4 linked regions of the Sus scrofa genome follow. The protein of the gene in region 1 purifies or fractionates together with the protein of each later gene. This does not show direct contact. Links are inferred from orthologs where the notes say so. Each region holds a gene or a part of one and is shown on either strand. Other genes may lie near its edges.

Region 1 (4,057 bases):
ACAAAAACACAGATGGGATTTCCTTTCTCTAAATTTCTCAAGCACTGAACCCAGGAATCTAGAAATAGCGGATATGTGATGCACAGCATCTAAAGAATAATACATCAAGACACCAAAGAGAAAACCATGGTTTTAATCCAACAAAGGGGACACCCGCCATGGTTCACGCTGCAATTCATGTTCTTGATTATTATGGAGGTAGAAATGGTGAAGAGGTGCCCAAGGCCAAGCTTACCCTGTTTCATGGCATGCTTCTCCTGCAGAGCTGGCTGGATTTTCTCCATTTGCTTGGTGAGGAAGTCTATCTTCCTCTTGAAGAAGTCCTTGGCATCTTCAGCTGTCTGGAAGGTCAGAGGTGAAGGAGGGGCTAAGAGGAGACCTCTTTGTGCACTCTGGATCTCTCCCTAAACTCCCTCTGCCTCCTCAGCGGGGCATCCATACGCTTCCTTCCACTCACCTTCTCTACATAGTAGCCAGTTCCCACATCGATGAGCACATGTTCCACATCATGCAACTTCCCAGGGACGTACATCTGAGAAGCGAGGATTAAGGGAAAACTAGCCCAGCATGAGTCCTGATTTCCTGTCGGCTCATCTGCTTGACCTCCTAAGAACCCCTTTTTCTAAAAACTTAAAAGGTACCGGGATCAGATAATCTGGAGGCCTACACACTCCAAAGGGGAGACACAGGGAAGTTGGTTCCTTATGGAGAAAATTACACATGCTGATCTTGCCCTGATCTCACTGCCACCCTCCAAGAAGTTCTTAGAGTTCTTCCCATTAGCCCTTCCAGAAAGACTAGATGGCTTTTTTTATTGTCTTTTTTAGGGCTGCACCCGCGGCATATGGAGGTTCCCAGGCTAGGGGTCAAATCGGAGCTGTAGCCACCGGCCTATGCCAGAGCCACAGCAACGCGGGATCCGAGCCGGGTCTGCAACCTACACCACAGCTCACGGCCACGCCGAATCCTTAACCCACTGAGCAAGGCCAGGGATCAAATCCGCAACCTCATGGTTCCTAGTCGGATTCATCAACCACTGAGTCATGATGGGAACTCCATAAAGACTAGATGCAGTGTTTCTTTTTTCTTTTTAGGGCCACACCTGCAGCATATGGAAGATCCTAGGCTAGGGGTTGATTCGGAGCTGCAGCTGCCAGCCTACACCACAGCTCACGGCAACACCAGATCCCCAACCCAGCGAGGGAGGCCAGGGTTAGTAGTGGATTGTTTCTGCTGCGCCACAATGGGAACTCCTGGAATGATTTTTCCTGATGCTGTTAAATAGTAAAAGTGAAAAGCCAGCCTCATTTCTCCTTTAACACTCCCAACCATGAAGTAGGTCATTCCCAATAGATTTAATGTTCCTTATCTAAGCAGTCCCTACTATGCGGCTATTCCTGTGTTTCTTTTTCAGCCTATCAATTCTCAGGTGCAGTTTATAGGTGCCCTGTTAACACAATTGGCTCATTCAAGTAAAACACTCAACAGATAGACACAATCCAGGCTTCTCAGTAACAACGGATTAGAAATAAGATCCACAATTAAACTAAAATTGAAGATTAATAAACAGAGCCAACCCCCTTGTCTCTATATCCTCTCTTCTTCCACTGCTTCTGTTTTCTAAGTTATTAGTAAAAAGGGTAGGGAGCTCCTGCTGCGGTGCAGCAGGTTAAAGACCCAGTGTTGTCTCTGAGGTGGCTCAGATTCAATCCCTGGCCCCGGAACTTCCACATGCTGCGGGTGAGGCAAAAGAACCCAAAAAACAAGTCAAAAGTGTAAACCACCAGTTTTATCTCCCTATTAGATTATATCCTCAAACAGCGAAGGAAAAAAATCACACCTCAATTCTACATACACCTTGGTGCTCACCAAACATTAGCTGGATGTTGGCTCCAATGAGATAGCAGAGCTACGAAGTGTGTACTGAGTATTCTCAGAATCTCTGGAGCAATTAGAACCTCTGCCCTTTTTTGCAGGGTAGGGGGTGAAGGAGAAAAGGAGTGGGCGGGGAAACAGTTCCTGCAGAAAGGATACAGAACTCGTCAGTGGGACGAGTAATTCTTTCCCTGTGAAAGCAATTAAGACAGACATGTAGGGAAGGTGGACTTCTCCAGCCTTTACACGTTCAAGGGAGTTTCAGCACCGCACAGCGCCCAGAGACTGTGCGATAAGTATGGAAATAGGGGCAACAGGAGAAGAATGTCCTGTACATTTCAAGTCTACCAAGGCAACATGCAAAGGGCTCCTGCAGCAGTATGCAATACGTAAAGGACCGTTCTCTCGTCTCAGATAAGGACAACTGGATAAGGAAGAGAGAGGAAAAGCCGGCTCGCCCCAACCCCCAGCTTGCCTTCACGCGCCTACCGCATACCCTCGTTGCTCTTGTTCAGCACGTTCAGACAGTCCTTGGCTTCCACATACTTGGTCTGTACCACCTTGAGCTGGGCAATGGACGTGGACAAGAACTCCACTTCCTAGAGAGAAGAGGAATGAGGGTTAGTACGGGGGCTGGTGGGAGAGGAGGGCACCGCCGGGAAGGGGCGGGTGCTGGGACCGAGTCGGGGTTTTGCCTGGGAAGGGAAACCTCCTCCCTCGGCTGGGGAAGAATGGGGAGCGAGGGAGTACGCGTGGCGGGAAGGAAGTGAGGTGGAAAGGGGTGTCTTTGGGGGCCTATTCCCACCTGGTCCAGCTGGTTCTTGAGCATTTCCAGCTGCGGCAGATTCAGCTCGGTAATGTTAACCGACTGCGCCATGTTGGGAAGGAGGACTAACGAAGCGGAAGCCGCCGGGTGAGCAACGCTCTAGCCGTCCTCTGCGCCTCTCGATGGCTACGCCGGGAGGCCTCGCTGCCCCCGACATCTCTATGGTCTTCCGTCCGGGAGCGGAGGAAGAGCTGGGTCTTCTCTGTGATTTACTTGCGTTGGAGTGGAAGAGACAGCGGCGCTTTCTTTTTTAAAGACCGAACTGGAGGCATATGGAGGTTCGTAAGCTGGGGGTCGAACTGGAACTGCAGCTACCGGCTTAAGCCACAGCAGCGCGGGATCCGAGCTGTGTCTGCGACCTACACCACAGCTCACTGCAACGGCCGATTCTTAACCCACTTAAATAAGGACTGGGATCGAGCCCGCAACCTCATGGATACTAGTCCGGTTCCTTATCGCTGAGCCACGATAGGAACTCCCAGGAGCGCTTTCATTACACAAAACATCCCAAGCCTAGCGTCGACAAGTTGCAGCAAACAGGATTCCTGTGAATTTAAGAATCTTTTTTTTTTTTGTCTTTTTGTTGTTGTTGTTGTTGTTATTGTTGTTGTTGTTGCTATTTCTTGGGCCGCTCCCCGCGGCACATGGAGGTTCCCAGGCTAGGGGTTGAATCGGAGCTGTAGCCACCGGCCTACGCCAGAGCCACAGCAACGCGGGATCCGAGCCGCGTCTGCAACCTACACCACAGCTCACGGCAACGCCGGATCGTTAACCCACTGAGCAAGGGCAGGGACCGAACCCGCAACCTCACGGTTCCTAGTCGGATTCGTTAACCACTGCGCCACGACGGGAACTCCTGAATTTAAGAATCTTAAAAAGAGTTCCCGTCGTGGCTCAGCAGAAACGAGTCTGGCTAGCATCTATGAGGACGCTGGTTCGCTCCCTGGTCTCGCTCAGCGGGTTAAAGATCCAGCATTGCCTGTGAGCTGTGGTGTAGGTCTCAGACGCGGCTGGGATCCCACGTTACTGTGGCTGTGGTCCGCAGCTACAGCTCCAATTTGACCCTTAGCCTGGGAACCTCCAAATGCTGCGGGTGCGCCCCCAAAAAGACCAAAAAAAAAAAAAAGTAAACCATGTGGGTGATATAAACCCTAGTGACAACTGGCAAGGAAGGAAGAAGCTTGTTAAGTTCTCTGGTCGTAAAAGGAGGCTTTGGGCAGATGAAGCGGGACTAGAGATGGAGTGGAGATGAGTGGGTGGAGAGAACACAAAGGAGGTACCTCATCAACCAACAAACACAGCAACAGGTTTGTTACTCAATAGTGTTACCATGTGCTAGAAGTGAGGAATACTGCT
Region 2 (2,523 bases), on another chromosome or scaffold:
GAGTAATTTTTAAATTCCATTTGTCAGATGGGGAGAGGGATTCAAGAAATACCCAGGAGGAAGTCAGATTAGAAGAGCTCAGACCTGGGAAAGGTGTGGTTCGCCCCCTTCAGTGTGCATGTGGTCACTCTGGATCCTCAGAATTCCAGACTTAGTCATCTTGCCTTCACCCCTAGTGGCTGGCGTGGGAGGTGGGGAGGGGGCGATAAAAGCTAGCTGTTTGTCTTAATGGATCAAATATAGATAATGGTCTACCTTTGAAAACTTTTAAATTATTGTATCTTCAGCTCAGAAATGACTATTTACATTGATTCAGATGTAATACTATAAATAGTGTCACGATGGACTTAGTAGATAAGATAGTATTTGGTAACTAAAGATAGTGATTCTTATCCTTATTCTTCTATTTATTTATTCCATAAGCAAAAGAATAAGTAACCTGATTTCCCAGAGCCTGTTTCCTTAGCTATGAAGAAGATAACTTGCCTCACTAGGGTTTATGAGAAGTAAATATATTCTCTAGCCCAGGGAGTCAATAAACTTTCTGTAAAAGGCCAGAGAGTAAATATTTTCGGTTTTTGCAGACCATGCAGTCTCTGTTACAACTTGTGTTTAGCTCTGCCACCATGGCATGAAAGTGTAAGTGAATAATGAACAGCTGGGTTTCAGGAGTTCTCACTGTGGCTCAGTGAGTTAAGAACCCGGCTAGTATCCATGAGGATGCGGATTTGATCCCTGCCCTTGCTCAAGTGGGTTAAGGATCTGGTGATGCTGCAAGGTGCCGCCATCTGCAGCGTAGGTTGCAGATGCAGCTTGGATCCTACATTGCTGTGAACTTCCATATTCTGCAGGTGTGGCCGTTAAAAAAAAAAAAGACTAGCCGGGTTTCAGTAAAACTTAGGACGAAGGGCCTCTGGCTGGATTTGACTCAAGGGCAGTAGTTTGCCAGCCCCTGCTTTAATGTATAAAGACCAGGTGAATGTTTATTAATTGTCATGATTTTCTTTCTTCAGGCTAATGTAATGCTTGAATATGATATCGATGAAGCTCAGGCATTGTTGGAAAAGAATTTGTCAACTGCCACAAAGAACCTTGATTCTCTTGAGGAAGACCTCGACTTTCTTCGAGATCAATTTACTACAACGGAAGTCAGTATCCTTTCTCAAAAAAAAAGAAAAAAAAAAAAGAAAAAAAAAGGGCAAAGGGAGGAAGGAAGAAAGATGTTTTTAACATTCTTACCTGCATTGCTTTAGTGAGAAGAATGTTCTTTTTTTTTTTGTCTTTTGTGTTTTTAGTGCCACATCCGTGGCATATGAAGGTTCCCAGGCTAGGGGCTGAGTCATAGCTGCAGCTGCCGGCCTACACCACAGCAGTGCACAGTCACAGCTGCTTCTGCAGCCCACACCACAGCTCACGTAACGACAGATCCTCAACCCACTGAGCAAGGCCAGGGATCGAACCCACGTCCTCATGGATGCTAGTCAGGTTCATTAACCATTGAGCCACAAGGGGAACTCCAATAATGTTCTTATTCTTAGACTACTGTTAAGTTGCAGATTTTATGAGAGTGGTAAATGACATATTTAGAACTAATAAATAAATTTACAGATAGACTGATCTGAATTTGAAGTGGGAAAATGTGAAAACAGCAAATTCAGTTTAGCAAAATGAGTATTTTTCTTTCAGATATTTTCTCAAGACATCTTCATAGCTAATGAAGTAGTGTAATTCCACAGTTGGTTATTAAGGGTCTCCTGCAACTGTGCTAAGTTGCATGGGGCAAAGTATTGCTCCGTAAAACAACTAAGTGATGATTTTATAGTAAAATATAAGTAAGTTCATTTCATATATTCAATACCAAGGCAATTCAAAGTTAGGGAAAGATAGATGTGAGCTAGAATTAGTTCAGAACGGGCTTTGAGAAGATAGAACTTAAGAGTGTTTTCGAAGGCAGTGTAGGATTTATATCGGCAGAGGAGGCCTTTTCTTTCTGACCTGTCTCTCCTCCTGGTTCCTGGCGCAGTCCTGGGCCTCACACAGTCGCCCAAGACAGAAACCTGGGAGTCGACCTTCATGCTTCTCTTTTTTATCAGCGGAAGCCAACCAGGCACCAGATTGTTGTCAACTTTCCCTTGTAAATCTCTCTGCCCATTGCTGTTACTCACATTTTGGCCTTCTAGAGTCTAGACTCAGTAGTTCTCTAGTCTTTTTCTCCCATCTGTCCTTTGCACTATCTCTACCATGAATTTACTGAGTCATGCTTCTTTCTTTTTATTCCTCTGGTTATAATACTTCAGGGGTATTTGCTATGTGGAAGGGCTGCACACGGGCTTTCTGTGAGCTGTGCCCAGCCAGTCCGAACTCCTGCTGCTGGCTTCCTTGCTCCCAGTGCACCCCTGGCCAGGTCTTCTCACCCGCTGTGTGTGCCATGCCTTTTGTACTTCCACAGTCAGTGCCTCCTGCCGGGACTGATTTCCTCTTGTTGACCTAGGTTGCTTCTTTTTATCTTTCATATTTTGGCAC
Region 3 (3,298 bases), on another chromosome or scaffold:
TAAAGTGATCCGTGCAAAAACCCCCACACCTGTGAATGTGTAAGAAACAATTTGAGGACAAAGAAACGGAAGAACAACATTGTGGACAACGTATAAACATGGAGGACGTATGATATCAGAGCGTTAGGTGTTGAGATTTTAAATCAGTTTAAGCTACATTCAAGCAAATTCTAAGAAAAAAAGACTAAAACGAATTAGAGGGATGCCAGGGCTATTTTGAAGATGATGGGAAATCAGCAGGGAGGGTCCCCATGTTTCATTCTGGGGTCACAGCTTAGAAAATTCTGAGTTCAATTAAACTCACTTTACCCAAAACCACTGCATTGCAAATGCCCTTCTCATGTTTCCAACCAGGATAATGGAGACCTAAGGGCTGCATATACAGGAAAAATGAGATTTGAGATATTTCATATTTCAGTCTCAATAAAGAAGGCTTACTCGGCCTCAGAGTGCCCAGTTGCAAGAGTCTGGACCTGAGGGAGTCACAGAAGCGATAAACATATAAGGGGAGAAGGGACCAGGGGAAAAGGTGGAGATGATTACAACAGAAGTGGCTGGTGAGAAAACAGCCAGGTGTTTTCACATTTTATTCACTACAGTAGAGACCCTTGAGCTGCCTCATTCCCACCCCCTCCCTCCCCCCTCCACAGGGTCAGGCCTTCCCAGGAGCCCCTGCCTTGGCTGCCTGGGCCCGCTGGAACTCCTGCTGCAGCTGAGCCAGGGTCTCCCTCTGTTGCTCTGACTGGCGCTCCAGTTCCCGGAGTTGGGATTCGTATCGCTTACTGAGGAAGACAGAACACCAAAAACGGTGAGGTCTTAATGAGACTTACTGCTGAGGATGCTGAAGGCAGGAAGGAGATTGGTGGGGAACGTGAGATCCAAGGGAGGGAGGAGAAGAGGGGTTAAAAGGAAAGCGGCTGGAGGAACTGGGTGGTGGTGGTGGTGGGAACAGCTCTGGAAGCTACTCTACAAGGCTTTCTCAACACGTCTTCCACCGTGGCATGTCTGTCAGAAGGTGCTGGAACAAAGACTCACATTTCAGCTGTGATGTAGTCCAGCCTTTTCCCCACTGTGGCTCGAGCCTCTCCCAGCTCCTGTTTGACCAGCACGGGACCCAGAAGTTTAAAGACCACGTTGGATCCATCCAGCAGGGCCAGTTCCTGATGGAGGGGCAGGACATCTGTGATCAGAAACATTGCCAGGACAAGTTCCCTCCTCGCCCCACAAATCCTGTGCTCTCACCTCCTTCACGATATTATTTTCTGTTAGTTGTGCTTCTAGTTTCTGCCTCCCTGACATGGACTTACTCAAGTCTGGCGGGTGGGAGGGAAGACTTGATTAAAGACATCAGATATGCCACCCAATCCCTACCGTCCTGGTGAGAAATGGAGCGACAAGGACGGGAACACCATGGAGGTGGGGAAGGGGCACGGGTGGGATGGAGAGGGGCAGGACGCATCTTGTAAGGCTTCGGGTAGTGAGAGAACCGGGACAACCCCGTTCCCCTACCCTTCTGTAGCTGTTGATATTTCTCCACTTCTCCCTGTAGCTTCTTCTGGATCAGCTCAGCCATGGCGAGGACGAAACTCCGCGGGAAGAGGGAGAGGGGCGCTGGGTTGCACACTCTGGAAGGTACCCGAGCTCCCCTTTCCGGCCTGCGGAAATGACAGCCCTCTTGAGAAGCAGCCCCTCGGGGCACCGCAGTCTCCCCCCGTCCGAGATATCGACTCCACCCCTGCTCTAGGCGGCAGCGGGGGAAAAGAGACCCCAGAGCCCTCAACCGAACGCCTGCTCTATCTACTCACGTTCTTCTTTCAGTGTTGGTGAACCCGGAAGTAAACAGAGAATGCTGGGAAGAGACGGCGCCGGAAGCTCTCGTCTGACGCATGCCGGGAACTGTAGTTCTCACTTGTTAGACGAGTGGCGTTTTTCTAAAAGGCTGGACTCGGAACGTTCTAGGCAACATGCGGAAACGAAGCTGGAAAAAGGAACTGCACAGTCAACTTGAGTCCTGGCTCCGGACCACCTCTCTTTCATTACTCAAGCATAAACTGCCTCACGGGGGCGGGGCCAAGGTCTGCCCCCCACCTCACTGGAGAGAGCGCCCTCACCCAAGATGGCGCCTCGAGGGCTTCGAACCTGGGGCGGAGCTGATTGGATGAGGGCCGGAAGACTTCCGGGAGTTTTCAATCCGACTGTGGGACAGCTGAGAGGAGTTTGCACGTGTGTCGCGGTTCGGGTGGGCTTGATGGAGACAGCCCCCAAGCCTGGCAGTGATGTCCCGCCCAAGAAGGACAGACTTCAGGCCAAGAGAAAGGTAGAGACCTCCTTGGGTTGAAAGGAAAGTTTTTGGCTGAGGGGTTGGAGGGGCGGGGAGGAGGCAGCGGAATATCAGGGGTCCTGATCTGCCAGCAGAAACCTCGGCGATACTGGGAGGAAGAGACCGCTCCGACAGCTGCCGGAGCCTCTCCGGGTCCCCCTCGTAAACAGAAGAAGAATCGAGAGGCCCGCCCTCAGAAGCCAAAGAACGCTCCCATCCAAAAGAAGTCTCGGTTCCCCAAGAAGCCCCAGGTCCCAAAGAAATCCCAAGAATGGAGGAGTCCAGGCCCTCAGCGGAGCTTGTCTGGGGTGAGCCTGGGACCTTATACGGTGGCGAGGCAAGTCTCCTCGTGCTTTGAGGGTACGAGAGTTGGGATCAACCCGAGCCTGTTTACTAATTGCCCCATTCCTGTCCCAGGCCCAGGACCCGTTTGCAGGCCCCGCCCCTGTCCCTGTGGAGGTAGTTCGAAAGTTCCGTCGCATCGACAAATCCAAAAAGGTGAGAACCGGTCGGAGAGTGGGGAGGAGTTGCAGGCAGGGAGTGTCTGGGTGAGCTGGATGGAGGCGCGGTCAGGTGGCTCTCCTGTAACCCCCATACTCGCCCATTCCTCTCCCACCAATGATTGTAGCTGCCCCGTTCCAAGTCCAAAGCCCAAAGCCGGCTTGATGCTGCTGAAGCTGAGGAAGAGGAAATAAGCGTCAAAGCTGCTCGTTCTGAGCTGCTGCTGGCTGAGGAACCTGGGTAAGTGGACCGTAATGTGGGCCTCCCCAGCTCCTGGTTTATGAGGCTCTCATTTCTCACTTTTATGTTGATACACTGACTTCACATCGGAAAGCTGAATGCAACCCTGACATTCACTGGCAGGTTTCTGGAAGGTGAGGATGGGGAGGACACAGCAAGGATACGCCAGGCTGACATCGCAGAGGCTGTGGATATTGCAAGTGCAGCCAAGGTGAGCCTGAGGGTGTAAAAGGATCC
Region 4 (4,246 bases), on another chromosome or scaffold:
ACATTTAGTCCCTGGGCTAGAAATTTCCACATGCCTTAGGCATGGCCAAAAAAAAAAAAAAATCCCAGTGTAATTTACAGCTGACCCTCCATATAGCAGTTCCTCTGTATCCTTGGTTCTACATCTGGATTTCAACCAATCACACAGTGTGTGGTACTGTAGTAATACCTTTAAAAATCTATGTACAATTGGATCCCCGCAGTTTAAACCTGTGTTGTTCAAGGGTCAACTGTTTTGAATTTACCCAGTCCTCAAAAGATGCTGTCTATTTGAAGCAGCAGAACAAAGACATGGTAAATAATAAACATATCAAGTAGCAGGTACCCAAGGAGTAATATAGGCACTAAATGCAACAGTCAGCGGATGAAACCCAGAGATCCAAAACAAGAACCATAAATGTAACTACTCACTACATTTATATTTTACAACTAGTTTTCAAAGCACTTTCCCACATTTTTTGAACTATTAATATGTAAATATTAATATGAGAACACTAATAGATGTAATAATAAATACCTCATTTACTCTTCTCAACAATCCTGAGTTAGGGCAAGCAGTTTCATCACCACAGCTTATAAATTAAGTAACTAAATGTTTGAAAGAGATATAAATGACTTGCACATGGTTGAACAACTAAGAGGTCTAAAAGTGAGCTCTTAAGTCCATTTCTTGACTTCTAGTTCAAAAACCTTTCCGTTCTGCTGTCTATAGTAATATTCAGAAAATGCATATTTTAAGAGAAGGACAAAAAAGAAAATATTTGAAACACTGGAAGAAGAATTATATCATGACAGAGGCACACACCAAGCCAAATCTGACCCTTGGGTACCCTTAACTCAAAAAGCTCCTAGGTACTCTTGTTGAAGAGCCTAGAATGACTTTCACATCCTGTCAAATTTATGCCTTAATACTTGAATAATAATTTTTGTGGCTGCAATGCATGGCAAAAGCTGCTATTTAACTTCTACTCTGGCTTTGTTCTCACCTACTAGTAAGGTTTCAAAATTTTGTTTAGAGTTAGAGGAGGTGCCTAAAATGTCCTACTTGTCTCCACTCAAAAAAAAAAAAAAAGACCCGAGCTCCCACTGTGGCGCAACGGGACCAGTGGAGTCTTGGGAGCCACTGGGATGAGGGTTCAAACCCCACCGGCACAGTGGATTAGGGATCCAGCATTGCTGCAGCTGCAGCTGAGGTCGCAGCTGTAACTCCAATCTGATCCCTCGCCTAGGAGCTCCATATGCTGTGGGGTGGCCAAAAATGACCAAAAAAAAAGACATTATAAAGACATTAGAATATCCTTAAACAAGTTTTTTTGAGTTAATTTCACTGGTTGTCAAAGCTACCCAATTCAAGTCTGTACTCATTTAAGTCTATAATCGTTTAAGTCTGTAATCAATTTGTCTGCAATCAATTTAAGTCCGTAACATTTTCTTAGTTTGCATTCATTGCCCACAGGTTTCCTAGCAACAAATTCAAATAATACTGAGGTAAACCCATTCACAGCTGTACTCTATTGTTGGCTCTTTCACTAAACCCTGACTTAATTTGAACAGAAAAAAAAAAAAAGGAGGGGGGCTTTTAGGATGCTTTACGACACAGTTTGCTAAGGAACCTAGTATATTGTTAAAGCTAAGATGGGACAGCATTAGAGACCACGTAAAGACTAAAGATACAAGTTTCGAAACAAAAATGGCAAAAAGGACATACACAAATCCTCAGAGCAATAGTAAACAGCTTTGCTTATTGGGTGCAAAAGCTATTTCACCTGCCCTATGTCTGACACAAAGGTTGACCGGAATGGTTTTAGTACAAGATGCCCTTCTGAAGTACCTAAACTAATGGCCAAAAGGCGGGAAGGCAGAAAATATTGGATTCTGATCCTAACCATGGCCTGAGTCTTTTCTGTAACTGTTTTTATTTCTAGAAAAGTAAAAGTTTAGAGCAGATGAAGTCTAAGATCCTTTCCAATCCCCAACCCATCCCCCTCTCAAAAAAAAAAAAAAAAAAAGATATGCTTTTGAGTTGGTAGCGGTGTCACAATCCTGACAATTCTTTAAGTGGCAAAAACGTCTCTGAGTAACAACACATTTACAGGCAACTATGGGAAGGGAGAAACCCAATTCCTTCTGATACCGATTCCATTTAGAAAACTTTCACTAGACTTTGCTTCTTTTTTGACAAACCCTTTAAAAGGGGAGGGGTGGAGGGGCTAGGGAGGGAGCCAAACAGTGCTGAGAATATCTGATTTAAGAGTATGTCGCGACCTTAGAGGTACGGGATTGAAGAAGTGGCCTAAAAACACAGGTTGGACCTGGAGTTTGTCAAAGCAAATTAGGATGCAGAATTACGGATGCCTCAGCTCGGGCAAGCTGTCTCAAGGGGCTCCAACTTGAAACGCTCACTTCAGGCCTTACAATAGGACTGAAGGCTCCAAGAACAAGGAAAGGGCTCTGGAGCCCGGAACAAGGGACTCAAAACAGCTATCGGCCCGCCAGACTTAACCAGCCCCAGCCCTACCAGCTCTCTTCCAGCAAAGAGCTGCTCGCCCCGACTCCAGCCTAAGGCGACCCAGTCCCGCCTGAAGGACTCTGGGAAAGCATTCCCCAATGCCCTGGGACCTTCTTCCCTCCGCGGGACTTGGGTCTCACTCGATATTCTTGTCTACGGTCCCGTTAGCTTCCAAAGAGAAGCCTGCCTGCTCAAAACCCTCTTTTACCTTCTTCAACTCCAGATCCACGGGAGCCGCCATCTTGATTCCCTCTCTGCGCCTGCGCGCTGGGAGAAGGCCGGAAAGAAGGGTGGGGGAAGGGCGCGCCTTGGCGGATCGTCCCCTTTCCTTCTACGCCTGCGCAGGAGCCGAGCTGCTTGGTTTCCTCCGCTCTCCAGCGCTAGGAATCCCCCCTCCACCCAGAGAACCCTAGATTCCGATTAAAAGCACATGTTTCTCGTGACCTATAGGCTTGGCCTGTTTCTCCACATCCTTCCAGACACCGCACCACGCGCAGATTTCGTGCATGGTTTTAAGTATTTTTGACAAATACCTTAGTTTGTGCTGCTAAATTGAGATGTATGTAGATGAGGCCAAAACCTCTTCAGTCAGGGTCCCTGTGCTGTCAGGGAGGACAAAGAATCCCAGGAGTTTGCATCCTGGTGCAGAGGAAACGAATCGGACTAGGAACTATGAGGTTGCAGGTTCGATCCCTGGCCTGGCTCAGAGGGTTAAGGATCCGGTGTTGCCTGAGCTGTGGTGGAGATCACAGACACGACTGGGATGGCTGCTGTGGCTCTGATGCAGGCCGACAGCTACAGCTCTGATTCAACCCCTAGCCTGGGAACCTCCATATGTTGCGGCCCTAAAAAGACAAAAACAAAAAACGAAAATTCAGCCCACGCCTCATACATGCCAATATAGAGAAAACCGGAAGGCTTAGCCGAACTGTTCCTCCAAAGAACTTAGTTATACTGAACACTCATGGAAGACCTTCTTGACACAGTGGTTCTCACAAACCAAATTAGTTTGTTTCAAATATATATATTTTGGAGTTCCCGTCGTGGCGCAGCAGAAACGAATCCGACTAGGAACCATGAGGTTGCGGGTTCGACCCCTGGCCTTGCTCAATGGGTTAAGGATCCGTCGTTGCCGTGAGCTGTGATGTAGGTCGCAGACGTGGCTCGGATCCCGCGTTGCTGTGGCTCTGGCGTAGGCCGGTGGCTACAGCTCCGATTAGACCCCTAGCCTGGGAACCTCCATATGCCAAGGGAGCAGCCCTAGAAAAGGCAAAAAGACAAAAAAATTAATGAATAAAATAAAATATGTATATTTTAAACACGCACACAGAGATTCTCTGGTCCTTATCCCAAACTTAATTACTTAGAATCTTTGAGATCAGGGCCCAGAAATTTGCACCTTTGCAAATGCCCCAAGTGGTCTGCAAACCACATTTTGAGAATCTTATGTAAAATATCTGGCATTTGAACCAGAGGGATGGCTGGTAATTGGACTTTTAGAAATGAAAGAAATGGATGTTTTGCCTAGTCTAAAAACCTGTAAGAGAGAGGAAAGGGCAGGTAATTTAGAACCAGACAGATTCCAAGGTAGCTAAGGTTTGGTCTACCTTGTGCCTAGATATGTCTGGTTCTACTTACTGTGTAGCAATAGAGTTTGTCTCCTTATTTAATATGGAAATAACAATATTATTGAGTTCCCATCATGATTCAGTGCCAATGTACCCAACTCACATCCATG

Evidence for each region.
Region 2: the proteins of PFDN5 (region 1) and VBP1 purify together in Homo sapiens (affinity purification with mass spectrometry; 7 studies listed by BioGRID and IntAct, counting the BioPlex papers as one, with this or other methods). This does not show direct contact. The link is inferred for Sus scrofa from reciprocal best matches to the Homo sapiens genes PFDN5 and VBP1.
Region 3: the proteins of PFDN5 (region 1) and PFDN6 purify together in Homo sapiens (affinity purification with mass spectrometry; 5 studies listed by BioGRID and IntAct, with this or other methods). This does not show direct contact. The link is inferred for Sus scrofa from reciprocal best matches to the Homo sapiens genes PFDN5 and PFDN6.
Region 4: the proteins of PFDN5 (region 1) and PFDN1 purify together in Homo sapiens (affinity purification with mass spectrometry; 7 studies listed by BioGRID and IntAct, with this or other methods). This does not show direct contact. The link is inferred for Sus scrofa from reciprocal best matches to the Homo sapiens genes PFDN5 and PFDN1.

Annotation. Positions count from the first base shown.
Region 1 is NC_010447.5:18,511,414-18,515,470, reverse strand, and holds the start of PFDN5 (prefoldin subunit 5), read right to left. Parts: upstream 2,835-4,057; 5' UTR 2,753-2,834; coding exon 2,681-2,752; intron 2,475-2,680; coding exon 2,372-2,474; intron 2,067-2,371; coding exon 2,035-2,066; intron 533-2,034; coding exon 458-532; intron 342-457; coding exon 236-341; intron 1-235. UniProt on the Homo sapiens protein: Binds specifically to cytosolic chaperonin (c-CPN) and transfers target proteins to it. Binds to nascent polypeptide chain and promotes folding in an environment in which there are many competing pathways for nonnative proteins.
Region 2 is NC_010461.5:125,502,329-125,504,851, forward strand, and holds part of VBP1 (prefoldin subunit 3), read left to right. Parts: intron 1-1,013; coding exon 1,014-1,152; intron 1,153-2,523. UniProt on the Homo sapiens protein: Binds specifically to cytosolic chaperonin (c-CPN) and transfers target proteins to it. Binds to nascent polypeptide chain and promotes folding in an environment in which there are many competing pathways for nonnative proteins.
Region 3 is NC_010449.5:29,652,199-29,655,496, reverse strand, and holds PFDN6 (prefoldin subunit 6), read right to left. Parts: upstream 1,806-3,298; intron 1,799-1,805; exon of another isoform or gene 1,656-1,798; coding exon of another isoform or gene 1,574-1,655; coding exon 1,510-1,573; intron 1,314-1,509; coding exon 1,243-1,313; intron 1,161-1,242; coding exon 1,036-1,160; intron 783-1,035; coding exon 653-782; 3' UTR 552-652; downstream 1-551. Other genes in the region: WDR46 (WD repeat-containing protein 46), read left to right, coding at 2,117-2,317, 2,413-2,628, 2,738-2,818, 2,949-3,061, 3,185-3,272. UniProt on the Homo sapiens protein: Binds specifically to cytosolic chaperonin (c-CPN) and transfers target proteins to it. Binds to nascent polypeptide chain and promotes folding in an environment in which there are many competing pathways for nonnative proteins.
Region 4 is NC_010444.4:142,075,136-142,079,381, forward strand, and holds the start of PFDN1 (prefoldin subunit 1), read right to left. Parts: upstream 2,866-4,246; 5' UTR 2,750-2,865; coding exon 2,717-2,749; intron 1-2,716. UniProt on the Homo sapiens protein: Binds specifically to cytosolic chaperonin (c-CPN) and transfers target proteins to it. Binds to nascent polypeptide chain and promotes folding in an environment in which there are many competing pathways for nonnative proteins.